Linked DNA regions of Drosophila melanogaster. The protein of the gene in region 1 interacts with the protein of each later gene in a pairwise test. Each region holds a gene or a part of one and is shown in the gene's direction. Other genes may lie near its edges. The genes, in order: CG15475 and robo2.

What was found.
Region 2: the proteins of CG15475 (region 1) and robo2 interact in a two-hybrid assay, tested with the Drosophila melanogaster proteins (one large-scale study listed by BioGRID).

What each region holds. Positions count from the first base shown.
Region 1 is NT_033779.5:20,612,324-20,616,091, forward strand, and holds CG15475 (uncharacterized protein), read left to right. Parts: upstream 1-2,198; 5' UTR 2,199-2,357; coding exon 2,358-3,059; 3' UTR 3,060-3,236; downstream 3,237-3,768.
Region 2 is NT_033779.5:1,417,257-1,422,421, reverse strand, and holds the start of robo2 (roundabout 2), read left to right. Parts: upstream 1-1,968; 5' UTR 1,969-2,256; coding exon 2,257-2,518; intron 2,519-5,165.

The sequences.
Region 1 (3,768 bases):
ACTGTCAGTCGAGCGGGCAAATATTCAGTGCAAAAAACAGGTCGAGGCAGGTGAAAAGTGGCTGCAACGTTCTGTTGACATCGATACCTCAGCGAGCTGGAGGTGGAAATTGCACAGATAGAAAGAGGTGTTTAAAGAAAGTGTTCTGTAACTGGGATTTCATTTTGGTCTTGAAAACGTTAAAGAGTATTTCGATGTATAGTCCTACTCTAATGCAGAAATGTGGCTATATTGCAAAAGAGGCAAGGTATGCCAATTTAATAATAGATTCCCAGACACAATTTCTTTATGTGTACCACATGCAGCAGCTAAGTAATTTTTTATAGTGTTTAAGTCCTTGCTGTAGCAGAAAAGATCACGGAAAAGAGGACAACAAAGGACCTGAATGAACGAGGAGAATGCCAGTGAAAAGGGGTCCCCCGCCAGAACACATTCCTTTGCAAATGTCAAGTAAATTGTTGTTTGCTCGACAATCGGCAACAGGCGGCCCAAGAACAAGAACTCCTTCAGGACAATTCCCTTCTTGAGCTTTGTCTTGGTTCTTACGCCCTAAGTCAGTTAGGAAAAGTTAAGGCATTAGTAGGGAAATGGGGGTACGATACCGTGGAAGAGAAAGGGCAACTCGTTAGGCTCGCTTAAAGTGGATATTACTTTTTTAGGAAACTTTAATGGCTGTGCAATGAAAGGGCTTTAAAGTTAAGTATATTTCACAAATAATTTTATGGTTTTATCTTAATTGAAAGTAGTTTGTTAATGAACATCGTAAATTCAGTATAGTAAAACTGGGAGCAAAAGAGTTTTCTTTTATTAGGATTTAGTAGATGCATACCCTTTGGGTAACAATTATTCAACAGAGCTTCACAAGCATATCCTTTCGAAAATCCCTTTAACAAGTGAGCATTTTGTTCGGTTCGGAACCATTTTCAGTAACTGTCAGGGAGACTAACCCGTACATTTTTTGCATTATAAGTGGCCATTTTTATACCTTTATCATGTTCTACGTATCTCTGATAAATTGTCTGCCCGTCCACTCAGCTTTAATTTGCCTGTCATTTCGCATATCCTGCGAGGGCTAAGCTGACATTTGGACCCGTCAACTGCCACTCCCACCTTTCTCCCGCCTTTCTCACAGGCTTACGGCTGAGCTGCGCACATTTTGTGAAATGTAAGCGCAAAAAAGGGGAAAAACTGGCACAGGTCGCAATCTGGGGGCAGCAAAAAAGGAGGCTGGAATGAAACTAATTACGTGGACGACTTTACACGCAGATAAGGCTTTAATCACCGAAATGAAATGAAATTTCTTTTAAGGGATAACTGAAGGGAGAATTTGCCTTCAGGCCGACACTACGTCGTTAGGCAAAAGTCTGCAGAGCAAAGTGTGAAAGCCATGAACGCGACCACGAAGCGGGTTAATTACGTACAACAAACAATAAATTACTTGGTCCAGAAGATACAAAAAGAGGGCGAAGACGAACAAAAAATGAAATAAACTGCAGGAAAATAAGAAAGAAATTAGTTAAAAGAGACCCTAATCAGCTTAGTGGACTTTTTGCTTTGCTCGGAAAAGATGATTAAATTTCTGTGTCAAAATCAAAGGAATATTGCGTATACGCCGTGTGCGGCTGGACTTTCGGCTATGTCCTTGTTTTGATGGTCTTCGTTTCGCTCCTTTTCAGCTGTCACTCCTGTAAGCTTCTTTTTCCACTTCTTTTTTTCTTTGCGCTCATTTTCCCTGACTCCTTCACTTTATACGCTGCCTTTGTTTTTGCAAGCTCACACAAAAACCAAACATACCCAGCAAGCCAGAAAAAAGGCGAAGGAATTTTTTAATTATAAAATGTGTTTATCCGGAATTAATTGTTTTTGTTGTTCTTTCCATTTTAGCAGCTGTCCTGAAAAAGTAATCCAGCAAAAATAAAGTCTTTTTATCTCTGCATTTCTCTTTGGTAAATTACTCGCATTTTAAGCCATGACTTTTTGTAGTGCACGAAAAAGGATTCCTAACCCTTTCTAGAAACACTTGTCGGGTTATTTTCCCCAGAATTCCACTTAATTCTAATATTGTATATTTTAAACTCTAGTTTTGGAATCTGATAAATAATTTACTGATCGTATGGCAAAAACAGCTTTACACACGAGTCTAACGCAAATTGGTTTAGCTCAAATCAATATCCCAACAGCTTTACTTATAATTCATAATATATTTATAGTTTTGGCACCACATCGATTTTTTTCATACAACCCTTGAATTTGCCATCAAGTGGTCTAATTGGCCCTGACTCATTTCTACATTTCTACAATAAGCTCAAAAACTCATTTTATTATTCGTTGCAGTTCATCGAGGTCTCAAAAACTAAATGGCTCACAATTCAACACTGCAGCGCAAAACGAAGCTAACCCGCTTGGAGAATCCTTTGGTGGCCCCAACGTATCAACAGCAGGGAAACGGCTGTGGACTGGCCAAGGAGAAAGTTCCGAAAATGAATGCCAAACGGTTCACCAGACCATCCAAGACCCAGGCGGCAGAGCCAGCACCCAAGGATACCATTCACGATAATGCGAAAATATGCAACCACTTTGATCTATGCCGGGCTTCCAAGAATCCGATCAGAGCTGCTGGAGGAGGAAATACTCAAGTGGTTTCAAAATACCAGAGCGCGGTTAGTGTGAGCAACCAACCTGTTCGATCAACAGTCCCCAGAGCCACTCATCCAAAACTGGCTCCCAAGGAGGTCAGGGAAGCAAGGGAACTCATCTTCAAGGATCTTAAAGAGGCGCGAGCTGCCAAGGAACCAAAGGATTTTAGGCATGTTAAAGAGACCAAAGACCAGCAGGATCCCAAGGAACCCAAGGAGCCCAAGGTGCCCAAGGAACCCAAGGATCTGAAGGCAAGTGGAGCCCGCCAGAACATCAATCGCACCAAGAACTACTTCGACAAGTACCTGAAGTTCGCCTTTGATCTGAGCACTCCCGATGGTATCCAGAAACTGGAGGACCACTTTTTTCCGAACCAGGACCCCACTGCCCCTGGCGTCTCAAACTCTAACAGGGAAAAGTAAATATTTTCGGATTTTCCGAATGCAAAAACTATTGTGATCTTGAAGGATTCATGCCCAAATTTGAAGTACTTTTATTAGTTAACATTAAATTGCAGCGGTTGAATTATTTGAAATTCTTGTGATAACCAAATGATACATTGTTAAATAAATAACTCGGTCGATTTCTCTTTATACTTTAAATTTGCATACGAATTTTTCGATCTAAATTGACAATGAACATTTAATCGTTTCATACAAATCTGGTGCAGTGACGTTTGTCCCTCAGTTTAAATTGTTTAATATAAACAATTTATGTTTTTTCCCTAAGGGAATTCAAACCCATGAGTGTAATGAGCGTTTATAACACTTTTGTGAGTGCTTGGCTGAAATTAGAAAAAACGCTGCACAAAGGACCATTTAAATAGTGGGTAATGTTCTACAGGGATAAAATAAAATTTATTGTGTGGTCCAAATGCCGCACTCTCTCTCTCTCTGTCTTTTTTCCCTATGCAAATGTATTGCTCTTTGTTCAACACAAACTCACGCACACATCCATCTGCGCACCCACACTTTCGCACACTTACCAACACACTCACAACGCCCATTCAGCAGAGCAACAAAAGCTGCGCACTGGGCATTGTAAATCATAATCAAAACAATAGAACAAATGAAGCTAATGTGCCGCATGCAAAACAACAATCGGCTGAATGAGTGGCAGAAAGGACGAACG
Region 2 (5,165 bases), about 19 Mb from region 1:
GTCATTTCATTTCGTTTGGAAGCTCGCAAATCCGCAATTGAGACGCAACTTACATGCCATTAACAAGGCTTAAACCAACCGACATGACAGACAAACAGTCAGTCAGTAGACTGTGTGACAGAGAGGGACGAGCCGGTTGGAAAGAGAGGGCGAGAGGCCCAAACATGACAAAGGCAGTGTCAACATTTCAGCCTAGATAACTCAGAGTGCAGTCCAGTGTTGCCAAACTTCTTGGCCCTCTGTTTTGGTAAGGTCATGGGTTGGCAGGTTTAATCGGGCCAGCTTAAGGAGTAAATATTTTGGGTGTTGCGGGCATAGATCAAAAATCCATGCTTGAATCCATCGGATAGTTAGCACATTGGATTTACTTTGGTAAGGTAAAGGACATAAGGTATCTATATATTATATATTATCGTATATACTTGCAGCGTTGCCCAACTTCACTTGAGTGCTAATGAAGCGTGGCAACCGGGCTCAGATATCTCGCCTTTCAAGCAGAGCAACTCGCCCTGGCTGTAAATTGGCCAATTATCAGCATTTGAAATATGGTTTACCTGCCACGAATTCTCTCTTTCCTCTACCTGGATTCTTCGCCTCTATAAAAGGTGAGCGGCAGTGGGAATCGGGATTCGAGAGTCGGGATCGGAGAATCGAAGAAACGAGGGACTTGAGAAGGCAACAAACTCACATACGCCGTACGCACTTTGACCTTTCTTTCTCGCAGAGACAATGCACATTGTGTTGCACTCTGAAAAGGGGAAGTGGAGGGGGAAAGGGAATCCACACCTGCCCGCTCCTAAATGCACGCATAGTTCCTTTATAGGAAAGATACACACCTTTATTTTACACTTCTCTGCCCGTCGAATGTATCTGTATCTGTATTTTCTGAGCACCGGCATTAATGAACTGACTTCACACTCGTCCGAAGAACTCTACCTGGAGGAAAAGTTATTGATTATTTAACAAACGCTGGGAAATTAGGCAGCGATTTATAGAGGAAAGCCCTTTCGGATATGCACTTTGATAAATTAATACAATATCGTCTAGCTGGCCATTCAATTGATTTCGAAATTCATTAGCGCGCAGAGGCGTCTAGATATTGGGACAGTGTCCAAGAACGGGTCTCCACTTTGATTTCTATTCATCGCATTGTGAAACGGATCGTCTAGAACTGTGTCTGGCTTTATTGCAGTTTGGAAATAGATGAGCTAACAGCTGGAGAGTGAGTGGGGCACTCGAGCAGATTAGATATGAAATGGTCGCCCCTTTGGAGGGGCTCTTTCGACTCTCTGCGCCGGCGAAGGGTTGAGCGGACACGGTGGAGCTGGAGGGCAATAAAGCGCAACAAGTAGGGATTATCCGAGCTCGAAATGTTTTCGGATTCGGATGGAAACTATTGAGGCTGAGCGGCACAAAGGTTGGCAATTTGTTGGCTTGACAACGTGAAAAAGAGCTTGAATGATCGAATAAAAATGGAAAAGAGCTGGAGATAAACAAGTTGGACTTGGAAATGGATGTGGCATGGTGTTAAAGTCCGTTTGAATGTAGATTTTTTTGTATTAGCAAATGATGCAGATTATTCATAAAAAAAGCCAATAAATACATGACTATGTGTTGTGCTGCAAAGAAATCCCCATCTAGTCCTGGAAGTCAGATACATATTCCAACAATTCACATCCACTCAATAGCAACATGATGATGCACCACCACCCGAAATGTTGCACGACTCGACGATAAACCTAGGGCACGTGGATCGAAACGAGTGAAGACGGAACAAAACAAACCGTCTTGCAGTAAAAGTAAACAAAGTTCCAACGCGTTCCACAGCATGCAACAAGCGGGACGAACTGGAACGCGGAACAGCGCACGAAGCGATACAGATACTAGATGGTACTCGGATACACAGACACGAAGCAGTAGCCGAAGTGGACTTCGGGTGGCGGCTCCGAGGCGAAACGAGAATTCGTTCCTCAGTCGCATTTCGATTGTCAGCCGGTTCGCATGTGCTGCGGATGCAGATACAGTCCATATATCCGTATCCGTTCGATTCGTCGGGTTACGCGCGTCGTCGTTCCGGGAAACGGACTTAGTGGCGCCGCCATGGATTCAGATGCTAGCGAATAACTAACTCGGAGGAACAGAAATACTGTGTGTGCCAAAACAGAAGATCCGAAAGATTGCGCGTATCGAGAAATGAGTGCAAATCTATTTTAAATGGTGTGCAATTAAGGAGGCGAAACGAGAATACTTGACAAAATGCATTTGTGCGAGATGCGTGGAATGCCGCTGCGGTTGCAACCTCAGTGTTTAACCAACGAAAGCGAAATTCAAATTAAAATCAAAAGCAAAATCAAAAATAAAACTGCCAGCGAGATCAAACGCCGACACAGAAACAATCGAGATTTTCATGGGGAGCGGCTAAAAATAATGCCAGTCGATCGGAGTCGACGCGCAGTATTCCCACTGCTGCTGCTCCTCGCGGGATTAAACGGATTAACTCAAGTCGGAGCGCTCAAGGGTAAGTGTCAACAGATGCAAGATGCGTCCATCTCCAGAGTTGCATTCGCAGGGTTGCATTGTGGGATCTCTGTTTTAGTTTGAAGGGCATTATGACAAACTATTTCCTCCCAGAGCCAGGGAAAATCCTTCGCGGCCGCATATGAGTTGCCTCCTCATGTCGCTGCACTCCCCATTTATTTATTAGCGTCATTTGTTTCCATTTACGTTTTTTTGTTGGTCGACTCCGTCTTTTGGCTATTTTTGGTTGCAACACACGCGGCCCGACCGAACAACAAAGTGAAATTAAGGCACTGCGGTTTATTTATGCCTGCAACGTTCGCTAATGGATTTTAAGGCCGCTTTATAGACAACGCGACATCGACTCTGCCCATAGACCCATTATTCATGCCTCTCTCTCCCGATTCTCATTAGAGATGCACATAATGGGGCGACTTTTGGATGGGCATAGCTGGATGTTTGGGCTTTGGCAGGGCATTGCAATCGGTATCGTAATTCCAGAGATCTCTCAGAAGTTCTCTGCAGGTTAGGGAAGGTTAAGAAGTATCTATTAGTATGGATACTTTTAAGAACAATGCTGCTAATTCCTCATTATTCCTTATCACCACATAACGAACACCAAAAAACAAATGCTAACCCACTGAACCCACTTAGGGATCACATTTGGGAAAACTAAATACAACTTCCAAAGAATACACAGATCGTATTACACATCGAACCCGAGAAAAGTGAAAAAAAAATGCATATGTGGAAACTCAGTTGGATGAGGGTAAATCGAAACACAGAAATTGTAAACCCCTTAGGGAGGATCTCGGGAAAGATCACTAACCAAAACCAAAACCGAACTTTAGATAAATGAGTAATGAGTTCGAAAGACTAATCAACCGAGTGTAGTTTCCCGCTCCAATCTCGCAACTGATTACAGGAAAATCAAACAAAGAATCGAGTTTGTGGCTTTTGTGGTCGAGATGGCAAGTTCAAAAAGAAAACTAAAGCGAAATGGTTTGAGGTTGGCGGTTTAAGGAATGGGAGTTAAGCAACGCTTTTAAATTAGACCCTTTGGCGATTTCATGGCTCTATACCTCCGCCGATAAAACATATATCTAAATGAGCTTAAGTCGTCACACCCCTTGCAACGCTGAGAATGTTGTAATCTAATGCTTATTAAACGCTTTTTAATGCCAAACCAACGACGCCCAGTCCACTGATATCGTCCATGGACACACGCAACTCGGATTCGGATTGGGATTGGGATTTTTGAATTCGGATTTCAGTAAACACTTGAACACGCAACCTGAGGCTGTGTGTTGCAGCACCAAGTATCTGTATCTCAGTGTCCCCATCCCGAAATGGCCGATGTGACGTGGCAAGTGTTGCACGCGACGTCGCCCGTTTGATATAATAAATTGTATAAAATTATCTGCACCGGCACACGACAGGATTTTGTTCCTCACTTCTGGTGGTGTGTGACCAGCGAGATCCAGTTAGCAGCCCAGCTTTTGGGTGGTGGGTCAATCGCAGTCGGCTTGAGAATCTGTCGGGGTCATAAAAATTATCGCCCTCAACACAAAGTTGCAGGGTTGACAGCCTTGGCAACCTTCTAATGCCACTCTGGGGAGCGTTTTTCCAGCTAACTGGACTGACTGCACTTCTTTCTGTTTTTTTTTTTTTTTTTTTCGTTTTGACTCCGGGGGTGGCAGTCTATCCTTTCCTTTGTCTTGGCCGTTTATGTTGGCATTTTTTGTGTTTTTGTGTTTTTTTTTTTTGGGTGCCCGCCTGGCAAAAGCCTTTCGGCTCTTGTGCAATTTTCTCATGTGCATTATGCGAAAATTGGGCTAAGTAGCGGTCTCTGGCTTAGTTTTCCTACTTTCCCGGGCGAAAGAAATGAAGTCAAGTGCTGTGGCAGCTCCGTAGCATGTTATTTGTTCAATCACATGATTGCCCTACCAATCGCCCGGCACTCAACGAGATCTCCCATTTGCTCCCAGCTGCAGGCTAGATAATGAGGGGTCTTATGGGATAGTATCCATGCCATAGCTAGCACCGATACGTTGGCACACAGTTTGGGGCAGGAATGTGATTGAAAGTCGGGCCAATGTGGGTGGAGGTGTTGCAAGTCGACTGGCGAAAGGTCTAGCGGATAGCGACGTACTTCTAGGAATATTCGAAAATACGGACTAGGACGGGAGTGATAGGTTTTCAGTAATATGTAGTTTTACTTCTAATAAAAAAATCAATTTGGATCGAATTCCTTAGAAAACACATAGCCACTCCTTGGGGAAAAGTATTTACTTCTAATTGCAACTAGCCGTGGCTTCAGTACGCCTTTCCTAAGAGCATTCGATCTCCAGTCGACTATTTGCCAGCCAAACAATAATTAATTATTTAAAACAACAGGCTTACGACGACGGCCAGAACCCAGAACGCAGAGCCCAGAGAGACATCGGTCTGGAAGTCTGGAAGTTTGAATGGCTGAAAGGCGACTTGGACATGGTCAGCTGGGTAGTCGGAGCCAAGTTTTGCCTACGCAAAGATTTTTGTTATTTCTTGCTTCCTGGAGATCTGGAGACCCAGCCTGTCAGCCAGTCCAGTCCAGTGAACAGTGTGTATATGTGGGTATATCTCGGTGCTGGCCGTACTTGATATAG